Mus musculus: one gene and its partners. Each later gene encodes a partner of the first gene's protein in a complex. Links are inferred from orthologs where the notes say so. Each region holds a gene or a part of one and is shown on either strand. Other genes may lie near its edges. The genes, in order: Pard3, Prkcz and Cdh5.

What was found.
Region 2: Pard3 (region 1) and Prkcz share a complex: the UniProt entries of both Homo sapiens proteins name them as parts of the par polarity complex. The link is inferred for Mus musculus from reciprocal best matches to the Homo sapiens genes PARD3 and PRKCZ.
Region 3: the proteins of Pard3 (region 1) and Cdh5 are in contact, whole or in part, in an NMR structure (PDB 2KOH), measured with the Mus musculus proteins. Residues at the interface, in NP_296369.2 of Mus musculus: Ala599, Gly600, Leu601, Gly602, Val603, Ser604, Val605, Lys606, Gly607, Arg609, Lys611, Lys622, Ile625, Asn655, Gln656, Met659, Arg663, Met666; in NP_033998.2 of Mus musculus: Tyr774, Gly775, Asp777, Gln779, Glu780, Glu781, Leu782, Ile783, Ile784.

The regions. Positions count from the first base shown.
Region 1 is NC_000074.6:127,371,491-127,375,142, reverse strand, and holds part of Pard3 (partitioning defective 3 homolog), read right to left. Parts: intron 3,648-3,652; coding exon 3,265-3,647; intron 1-3,264. UniProt on the Homo sapiens protein: Adapter protein involved in asymmetrical cell division and cell polarization processes. Seems to play a central role in the formation of epithelial tight junctions. Targets the phosphatase PTEN to cell junctions.
Region 2 is NC_000070.6:155,270,808-155,274,459, reverse strand, and holds part of Prkcz (protein kinase C zeta type), read left to right. Parts: intron 1-1,432; coding exon 1,433-1,519; intron 1,520-2,855; coding exon 2,856-2,991; intron 2,992-3,173; coding exon 3,174-3,261; intron 3,262-3,652. UniProt on the Homo sapiens protein: Calcium- and diacylglycerol-independent serine/threonine-protein kinase that functions in phosphatidylinositol 3-kinase (PI3K) pathway and mitogen-activated protein (MAP) kinase cascade, and is involved in NF-kappa-B activation, mitogenic signaling, cell proliferation, cell polarity, inflammatory response and maintenance of long-term potentiation (LTP).
Region 3 is NC_000074.6:104,129,019-104,132,670, forward strand, and holds part of Cdh5 (cadherin-5 preproprotein), read left to right. Parts: intron 1-193; coding exon 194-381; intron 382-1,888; coding exon 1,889-2,139; intron 2,140-3,652. UniProt on the Homo sapiens protein: Cadherins are calcium-dependent cell adhesion proteins. They preferentially interact with themselves in a homophilic manner in connecting cells; cadherins may thus contribute to the sorting of heterogeneous cell types.

The DNA of each region.
Region 1 (3,652 bases):
AGGTGCAGCGTGTTTGGAACCTGACAAATTTCTACGGAATCGCAGAATTCTCTAACACTTCTAAAGAGCAATTTCTATTTGAGAGCATTTACTTCTTGGGCTACGTTTCAGTTAATAGGATGTCAAAGGGATGGCCATGGTGAGAAGGATGAAGAGACACACGGGGTCAAGAGTGGAGAAGAGTAGCCGAGCGTGACACGGGGTTCACATAAAAATGAATCAAAATGTGTAACACTCGAGAACGCTGACCAAAAATTATGAGTTGAAGAGAGAAAAGAACAGAAATGAATCTCAGTAGTTCCTGAAACGAAACACGCCAGAAACATTCTCAGGCTCAGACCAAACCCTCTATGCCCAACCGGAAACCACGTTCAGATTGACTGTTAGGTTTCTGCTATTGTCTGTCCTGAAGCCTTGAATGGCAAGCTGTCTGTATGAATTTTACTAATTATTCTTCTGAGGCTGTCCCATATGTCTCTGTGCCTTCACGAGACTCTAATGGCTGGCAATAACATCTATTAAGAAGGGATTTTAAATTATTCTCTTTGGCAATATTAATTCATACAAACAACAAAGATGGACTATTATATGAACCACAATTCTATTAAAATAACAGCAGTAACCCCTAAATCTATGAGTCAGAAGTTCAGGCAATGACCTTTAAGGGAAAGATAAATAGATGTCAATTTTCATCTGGTGAAGCCAACAAGACATTCTGCTCTGATGGAAACAGATTACTAACCTTCTCCTCTCGCTTTATTAAAAAGCTAATTTCTACAAAAGAGCAGGGGATTTGAGAATGCCAGAGCAGTAATAAATATTAAGAAATCATAATTATTGAAGCAAGTGAGTTGGGGCTTCTCTGTATTGTAGCCTCATGTGACAGAGTTCCAAAATTATTTCAGTGAGTGATCATCCCAGAGACTTCTCTTTTTAGTACAAAGCATTGACTCCAGCTTGCAAATTAATATCACTTAGAGCACAAAGGTTTACTTTGAGTTGAACATATATTTTACATGATCACACTATTTTTAATGGGCTTCATAAAAGTCCCTCAATGTTACAAGAACTGGTAAAGAAAAACCATAATTTTCCAGCTACAAGGAAATGTTTAATTCTAAAGCAATCATTATGGCCATATCTGTATTCAGTCCTAATCAAAGACAATCAATGTTCACTTCCTTCATAAGTATAGTCAACACAATCTGTTTATGTAAAACATCTGTAGGCACTGCTGTAAAGGCAGCAGCCACTTCTGTTGCATATCTTCTCTGCTGGTTAACAAAAATTAATATAAATCTATGGGATGCTGCATCATTCAGATTAGCAAAAATCTGAGAAAGATTTAAATAAAACCCACCACTTTCAATTTTCTTTTATGAATGAAGATTAGACTTCCTGAATTAGTCTAATAAACAGCTTCCATCTTTCTAAATGATACAAAGCAAAGCTAATATTATTAAAACACTAAGAAAATATTGACTCCTTTAATAGTAAGTAAAATGACCCTCAATGAATGAGCCCACCTTACATCATAATTTGTCATACTTATTATTTGTGCAAAACTTCAATTGATTGAATGAATGTTCCTCCTTCAGTAAAGAGACGTATGATGTTATAAATAGTATTATTTATGAAGTAGTCAGACACTGGCTAAGTGAATACCGTCTTTGTCTAGGGAATAGGAGCGGGAGCTTTATTTTTCATACACCACTGTTGTGGCACTTGACATATTTTTGGTTAAAACCCAAAGCCTGTCACTTGAGTGGAGAGAGGAGAATGTGAATTGGACCATCCCCTCCCTGACAATAGACAGAAAACAGCGCACTTCCCATACAGCTTGCAAAGCGTAGAAGCACGGTGTCAAGTCCTGTCTGTGCCAATCAAGTATTGGTGGCTCAAAAAGCCAATCATCAGAAGCTATGGCTCAAAGTTCAGTGAAAGAATTGTTCGAGGAAGGAGACAGCAGGTGCACAGCATTTCCAGTGCTACCCCCATGGAAAGGAGAATGAGCTGAATGCCACAGTATGAAAGACATGCGGGCAAGGGTTTGCCATCCACAGCGGCCCAGCACAAGTTAGTCATTATGGACGGCTCTCCAGCCCCTACTGGAGCCGGCTGAGCTCAGAAAGGCATTTTCTTCTTAAATAAAGCTATAATTTGAAAGGCACGGTTTTGAAATGCTCAGCTAAAAGAATACACAGTAAGCAAAGTGTGTCTTATCCTTGACAGAATGCCATTGGCCATCTGAAGGTCAAGTGTGGCTGTCACTCTGCATAATAGAGAAGACTAACTGTAAGCATGACCCCATGTACATGGATCTGCCATGTTCCCATGCGCACTTATTTGTCACCTACAGGAAGGAGCTACATAAGTCAATCACTGAAAGTGGGGAAGACTTAGCAGCACCCATCACCATTATCTGTCACCATCAAGGAAATGAAGTAATATTTTAGAAAACAAAGAGCAAACAGACAACTCAAACATAGGTGCCCTTTCCTATGACATGCTGAAGACTACACAGAGACCTCTCACATCCTACTGAATGCAATGTCTTGGCCAATCAAGACAGTCAGACCTCCATTATTATTCTAGACATTGAAGGAAAACCTGTAACCAATTTTTAGTATAAAAAAAAAAATGCTACCCTAGGAATAATAGCTAATTCTTGTAAACATGTGTTGTAACTTCTTCTGAACCTTTACATTTTAATCATATTTCTTGTCCATTTATGTGTACACATATGTAGGCAATTGCATATGTATCTCTCTCTGTGTGTGTGTGTGTGTGTGTGTATGTGTGAGAGTGTGTGGACCAGAGGTTAGAGTGCAGTGTTTTCCTCAAACATTCTCTGACTTATGTTTCGAGACAGTCTCTTCCTGAACCTGGACCTTGGCAGTGTGTCTAGACTGGTTAGTCGCATAGAAAGCCACCTGCCCCCCTCCCAACCACCCCCCAACCCATCAATGCCTGGCTCTTATGTAAATATTGGGAATCTGAACTCAGGTCCTCATGCATCTACAACAAGCACTTTACCACCAAATCCATCTCCATAGCCCTTTGTGTGTTTTAAGGTTGAGTAGGAATAAAGATCAGGGCAGAGTATCCTGCAAACAGGGAGCCTTGGGCTTTATTCTGAGCACTACACACTTCACAGAGGAAGATAACAACAAAGGAACACACCTATCCCCACCTCAGTACCCAAGGTACTCTCTTTAAGTAGTTGCTCATCTTCTTAAAGAAATGCGACTAAATGCATCCTACCTTTCTTAAGCTGGATGTTGAGCCTCTTGCCTACTTTCTTCGTGTTGTACACACTGCCTACGTTGGTACTAAGCACACTGGGTGGAGCCAAGGCCGGGGCTGCGGGTGGTTTGGTTGAGGCGTGAGCACTATGAGGTAGTCGGGGGTGAGCATCCAGCTGCTCGGGTGGCTGACTCAGTCTGGGTGCTCTGGGCAATGCTTGAGGGGCATTGTTGGCCACACTCCTGTTGGCCACACAGTGGCTGTCAGGGCTGAAGCGGCCTGGGGAGTAGTTGTTCTTCTCGCGTTGGGACAGTTGTTCATATTGCTCCTTGTTTGCTGCAGGGACCACATGGAACCAAATGACACGCGCACGCATAGCTTGGCGGAACATATGTTGTGCTCTGCA
Region 2 (3,652 bases), on another chromosome or scaffold:
CCCGGAGTCCATCCACATACAGAGACAAGAGCAGTCAACCCTTAAACCATGTTCCCCTGAGATGCTCACCTGCCCTATATCTGACTGGGCACCTACCCCATGGATCCTCTCTTTGTTCATCTAAGCCAGGATGGCTCACAACTCTTTGTTCTCCCCTTATCCCATGCTCCATCAGACGTTCCTGTGCTCCCTTAGTCCTCCCCTTGCTCCATCAGTTCTCTCTGTGCTCCATCAGTTCTCTCTGTGCTCCCTTAGTCCTCCCCTTGCTCCATCAGTCCTCCCCTTGCTCCATCAGTCCTCTCTGTGCTCCATCAGTCCTCTCTGTGCTCCATCAGTTCTCTCTGTGCTCCATCAGTTCTCTCTGTGCTCCATCAGTCCTCCCCTTGCTCCATCAGTCCTCTCTGTGCTCCATCAGTCCTCTCTGTGCTCCATCAGTCCTCCCCTTGCTCCATCAGTTCTCTCTGTGCTCCATCAGTTCTCTCTGTGCTCCATCAGTCCTCTCTGTGCTCCATCAGTTCTCCCTGTGCTCCATCAGTTCTCTCTGTGCTCCATCAGTCCTCTCTGTGCTCCATCAGTCCTCTCTGTGCTCCATCAGTTCTCTCTGTGCTCCATCAGTCCTCTCTGTGCTCCCTTAGTCCTCCCCTTGCTCCATCAGTTCTCTCTGTGCTCCATCAGTTCTCTCTGTGCTCCATCAGTTCTCTCTGTGCTCCATCAGTCCTCTGCTTCCTCTTTGGTCACTTTTTTCTCCTATCCCTAACTCCAAGGCCTCTGGCCTTCATCTCTACCTTATGGTGACTTTTTTTAACCCCTAAAACAGACCTAGCACCATTGGGAACACAGAGATGAACAGATAGGTGAATGAACACCCAACTCTATCTCTTTGTTTCTGTGTTTATTTATTTGTTTTTTTTTCCCCCCGAGTCACGGTTTCTCTGTGTAGCCCTGTCTGTCCTAGAACTCACTCTGGAGCCCAGCTGCCTGCCTCTGCCTCCCAAATGCTGGGATTAAAGGAATGAGTGTACCGGCACTGTCCAGCCTAAGTCTATTCCTAATTTTCCAAAAACAGTGTCCTACCTTGGCATCATGTGATGAAGCCACACCCATCATCCAACATGGTCTTGGACCCCAAATGTCAATCTGAAACCATGCGTCACACCTCACTGGTCCAAACGTCAAACTCAGCCTCAGCCTCCCTTTCACCTTGAGGTTTTCCCTGACCCCAGGAGCTCCCAGGTACCCCATCACCTCTTTGTTTTGTTCACTTACAAATCTCTGTAAGAGGCAGCCGGTCAGCACCCAGGGGTGACTCAACCCAAAGCTAAAAAAGCGACCCCCGCGGAGGTTCCATGCACTCTGGCCTTTTGGTGGTGACCTCGCCTACAGCATGTTTCGGGTTTTGGTTCCTGACCCGTTGCCCTTCTCTCCTGCCCAGGTTGTTCCTGGTCATCGAGTATGTCAATGGCGGGGACCTCATGTTCCACATGCAGAGGCAGAGAAAACTTCCAGAGGAGCATGCCAGGTGAGTCCATGGCCGGGGACTTCTCCTCAGGAGGCCAGCAGGGAGAAGAGGGGGGCAGATTTGGGCAGAAGGTGGCAGAGATGAGAGCTTCCCATGGTATAAGACAGTCCAAACCCTCAGGGGGAATCTTGGGAGCTTTGTGCCCAGGACTGGTCCCTCTCCAGACTTTGAGCAGAAGGCCCTCACCCAAGACGAGTGGCTCCCCAGCTGTTTGGTTTGGCTCTGTCCTCTTCCCTTAAAGTCCACGTTCCCTCAGCAGTAGAGTACAGCAGGCCTTCACTAGCATCAGGAGAGGCTCCCTGGTCCCGTCTCTGGCCTTGAACAGCTGCCATCCAGCCCCCTGTCCTCGTGCTTCCCCTGGATGGCCCCCTCCTCCGTAAATTACCTTAGTTTTCCCCACGAAGTCCTGTGAGTCACCGAGGCCGCTTTTGGGGAAAGTGGGCAGAAACTCAACAACAGCTTCTTGCCCGTCCACTTGCTTTTTATAAAACTCATGGTTAAACGCACACAGCGTTCATGTTGCCGTGTTGGCCAGATAGTTCAGTAGATAGTTAAGTGCCAGGAAGTTGATTATCACACTGCTGTGCAGCCACCACCACACATAGAGCCCCTTTATGTCGCACACTGGAACCCTGCTCCTGTGAATGCCGACTGCCAGGCTCTTCATCTCCGGCCCTCCTGTCCGATTCCAGAGAGCGCCCCAAGTATCTTCTCGTATATCAGACTTGGCGTGATGTTGTCTTCATGATTCACCACATAGCCTTTCCTTTTGAAGGTTGAGGTGTCCAACCCAGTGCTTGAGACCCCCACTTCTGATTCTTTTCTCCTTCCAGTTTTTAAAATCCGCATACAGGGTAACGGATCTCATAGAGGCGTTTCCTCATATCCACTGTTCTTACTGGGCCTCCTCCACTGTCTCCAGCCTCAGGCATACTGTGTTAGTGGCATTGTTTGATACACACCACTTTCTGGTTCTCATGCTTATTCACTTGTTTGTTCTGGTGCTGGGGACCATACTTATGTAAGCAAGGCAGGAGCTTTCCCACTGAGATGCACATGGCCCTAGCTCTCATGTTCTGAGGGACCTTCCTCTAGTCACATTTTTCATTCTCACCTACTATTCGTGCGATGTCCAGTGTCCCATGTTCCCTTCACTTACTCTGGCTGTGATAAGTAGCCATTCTGGTGGGTGGGAGGTGGAATCTCACTATAATGTACATTTGCATTCCCCTGTGACCAGGGATACATTGTGGGGCTCTATGTGTACCAGCCTCTGGCTGCCTGCCTGCCACCGTCTCCCTGCTGACTACAGAATTCCCCCCCCCCAATACCTCAGGTTCTATGCTGCTGAGATCTGTATCGCTCTCAACTTCTTGCATGAGAGGGGGATCATCTACCGGGACCTAAAACTGGACAACGTCCTCCTTGATGCCGACGGACACATTAAGCTGACGGACTACGGCATGTGCAAGGTGCCCGCCTCACCTGTCCCCCAACTCGATTGTCTGCCCTTGACACCCCGCAGGAGTATTCACTGATGGGGCATAGCTCAGTGGTGACCAAACTGAGGCACCCCTGTCTGTAACTTAATGTCAGTGTTCCTAAGGAGAGCTGCTTCATGTGAGATTTACCTTCCTGGTAACTGTCCCCACAGGAAGGTCTAGGCCCCGGTGATACAACAAGCACTTTTTGTGGAACCCCGAACTATATCGCCCCCGAAATCCTGCGAGGAGAAGAGTACGGTGAGTGTGAGCCACGAGGGAGGTAAATGTAGGTGGACACCTTCCAGAAGTCTCCCCCAGCTGGTGACATTCTTCACTCAGAGCAAGAACCTGTCTGGCCCACCCTACAGTGGCCCTGGCAGGGAGATATATGGCCAAATTATACCCAAAAATAACACAGAACACCCCTCAGGGTTTCCCAGCTGGTTACCCGTTGCATACTCCCTGAGGCCCACCAGATGACACTGAATAACATTCCTCTCTCTGAGGAGTCCTAAGGCCAGGGAGGAGAAAAAGGAACATGAAGCAACGACAAGAAAGCCCAGGTTTGGGTCACAGAACCTCAAGTTGGCTGGCCACTGGCCACTGGCCATGCATATGTGGAAGAAACAAAGTGCCCTTGGGAATGGCA
Region 3 (3,652 bases), about 23 Mb from region 1:
AGCCTCTATCTCAAAATTCCAAAGGCTAGGTGGTATAGTTCAGTGATAGAGTGCTTGCCTAGCCTGGGTAAGACCCTTGGTGTGTGTGTGTGTGTGTGTGTGTGTGTGTGTGTGTGTGTGTATGTGTGATAATACAAAGAGACAATTGTCTTATCTATCTCATTAACTCTTTGCGGTATCCTATGCACATTAGCCACATACACATTTTCGGTGCCTGAAGACATCCGAGTGGGCAAGCCCTTGGGCTTTCTGACTGTTGTGGACCCAGATGAGCCTCAGAACCGGATGACCAAGTACAGCATCATGCAGGGCGAGTACAGGGACACCTTCACCATTGAGACAGACCCCAAACGTAACGAGGGTATCATCAAACCCACGAAGGTACGTAGACCTGCAGAACCGAGCCCATTCATGGGCTATGGAGTTTGCAGGATCCAAAAGACATGCTCAGGGATCACTTCTGAGCCACAGGTCATTGAAGGCAAAGGTTCTGGTACAGCTCAGAGCGGGCCACGAACTCGTGGAGACTGTAACCCACAGTCTCAGCCTGAATTGTTCCAGAGATAGAGGCAATACTTTGGGTGTGACATGTTTCTTTGGGCCGTAATCCCTAAAAGCCTCAGGAGCAAGGATAGGTGGCAATCAGTGATGAACAGGTTCGAGTGGGGCCCAGACCCATAGGGGCTATCTAGAGCATGTCTCAGAGTTGCCACAGGAAGATCAGGCTCTGGAATAAGCAGCCACAAACCCTGCAGCACTCACAGACAACACTTGTTCTAGTCTCATTTCTCATATTGTGATAAAAATAACCTTGACCAAAAGCAACTTTGGAAAAGGGGTGTATTCGATTTACAATTCCAAGCTGAGTCCATTGTTATGGAAAAGTCACAATGGCAGGAACTTGAGACAACTGGTCGCATCACATCCGCGTCAAAAGCAGAAGGAAATGAAAGCACGCATACTTTCTGTCTGTGGCTTTGGCTATCAGTCAGCTTTCTCCTCTCATACGGTTCAGAACCAGGCCTAGGGAATGGTGCTCCCCACAATGGGTTGGGCCTTCCTACACTAATTAACAATCAAGATAACCACCCCCCACCCCCCACCCCCACCCAAACAAGCCCATATGTAACATGATCTAGGCAATCGGTTCCCTTCTCAGGTGATTTCAGATTAAACAGCAAGGTGACACTTAAAAACTCACCAGCATTAACTCCCTGTGTCCCAACAGTAGAAATCTATCATACTGACAGGATGGATCATCTTTTCTAAAACAATAAAGACTTTGGAACTGGGGGAAAAAAATAAAAGAAATCTATCATCATATATGTAAAGAATGTATACCTGAGGGCACAAGTAGCCATGGACAGTGGCTGCTGCAGGCAGCAAATGGTCTGATCGACTGAATCCAGAAGAGGGAGAGGAGCTTTCATGCTTCCAGGATTTTCAGGTAGAGGACTGAGAACACACAGCCAGCCAGCAGAGTCCACAACGCTCTCAGACAGTAGGGAAGATAGACATACAAACAACAGCAACAACAAAAAGCTGTAACTGGTATATCCAAGGCTGCAGAATATTGCCAGAGAAGAAGGTGTTACTGTCTAGAGTACTTTCTGAGAGGGTCTCTTACACCTGCTCAATAGCAAACTGCTACCCCTTCCTCACGATGAACAGGAAGAAAAGTTGCTAGGCAGACAAACCCAGGAGGAGTCTCTTCTCAAAACCAGGAAAGGTACTACTACCTTTGAATAGAACCACTAGGTCATTGCCCCCTTGAGAGGAGGACTGGGCCTAAGTGTGTCCTTGATTCATAGAACAGGACCAGGTACAGAGGCGGGGCCGGTAAAACGAGAAGCACTAATATCAGTCACCATACTTCTCACCCATGCAGTCCCTGGACTATGAAGTCATCCAGCAGTACACATTCTACATTGAGGCCACAGACCCCACTATCCGATACGAATACCTGAGCAGCACTTCAGGCAAAAACAAAGCCATGGTCACCATCAACGTCCTAGATGTGGATGAGCCCCCTGTCTTCCAGCGACACTTCTACCACTTCAAGCTGCCAGAAAACCAGAAGAAACCGCTGATCGGCACTGTGGTGGCCAAAGACCCTGACAAGGCTCAGCGCAGCATCGGGTATGGAAGTGGTGGGTGTGAGGTGATAATGCCATGGTGATCCTGGCATCGGCATTCTTATGCCTGATGGTCTGAGATCAAGGCTCAAGGGAGGACACTGTCTCCCAGAACCTCCATGGAAAGATGCTGAGGCTAGACCCTGGCTCTTTCCACTCATATCCTTGTCCCGCCAGCTCCTGTCTTGTCTATCTTGTCTGGTCCAGGCCATCCTCTGTTCTTTAAAGGACTTTAGGCCTTGACTCACATAGCTCCTGTCTAATGAGGTCATCAAGCAGGAATGGGTTATCTGAAGCCCTGTCACCAAAAAATAGTTTCGAGATATTTCTCCCAAGACAAAAAGCCAGAGTGTTGCTTTCACTTGCTGAAACCACACACTTCTATAAAGAGATCTATGGTAGTTCCCGCTCCCATCTGGTCCTCAAGTAGGCTGAGTGTTCTTTTCTTCATGGCCACATGAACCAACTGATGCACAGATGCTGTGTTCGTTGTTCCTGTTTGTGGTTTTGCTGCCATTTGCTTTGGATCATGTTCTGCACAGTCCGTCAATCCTAGCCCGTTTTCCATTGTTACAACTTCGTAGCGTGGGCTGGATAATTTATGAACTGCAGAGCTCTATTTATCTTAAGGGTCTACAGGCTTGGAAATCCAAGGGCACAGTGCCAGCACCTGATTGCCATCTAATGAGGTTTTGCTTGCTGCAACATGGGAAGACCTAATGAGCTTGGCAGTGTAGGTCTTTCTTCATCTTCTTATAAAGCCACTAAGCCACCATGGGGGCCCATCCTCATGACCTAATCCTTTTTTTTTTTTCCATTTTTTATTAGGTATTTAACTCATTTACATTTCCAATGCTATACCAAAAGTCCCCCATATCCACCCACCCCCACTCCCCTGCCCACCCACTCCCCCTTTTTGGCCCTGGTATTCCCCTGTACTGGGGCATATAAAGTTTGCAAGTCCAATGGGCCTCTCTTTCCAGTGATGGCCGACTAGGCCATCTTTTGATATATATGCAGCTAGAGTCAAGAGCTCCGGGGTACTGGTTAGCTCATAATGTTGTTCCACCTATAGGGTTGCAGATCCCTTTAGCTCCTTGGCTACTTTCTCTAGCTCCTCCATTGGGAGCCCTATGATCCATCCATTAGCTGACTGTGAGCATCCACTTCTGTGTTTGCTGGGCCCCGGCATAGTCTCACAAGAGACAGCTACATCTGCGTCCTTTCAATAAAATCTTGCTAGTGTATGCAATGGTGTCAGCGTTTGGATGCTGATTATGGGGTGGATCCCTGGCTATGGCAGTCTCTACATGGTCCATCCTTTCATCTCAGCTCCAAACTCCGTCTCTGTAACTCCTTCCATGGGTGTTTTGTTCCCAAATCTAAGGAGGGGCATAGTGTCCACACTTCAGTCTTCATTCTCCTTGAGTTTCATGTGTTTAGCAAATTATATCTTATATCTTGGGTATCCTAGGTTTGGGGCTAATATCCACTTATCAGTGAATACATATTGTGTG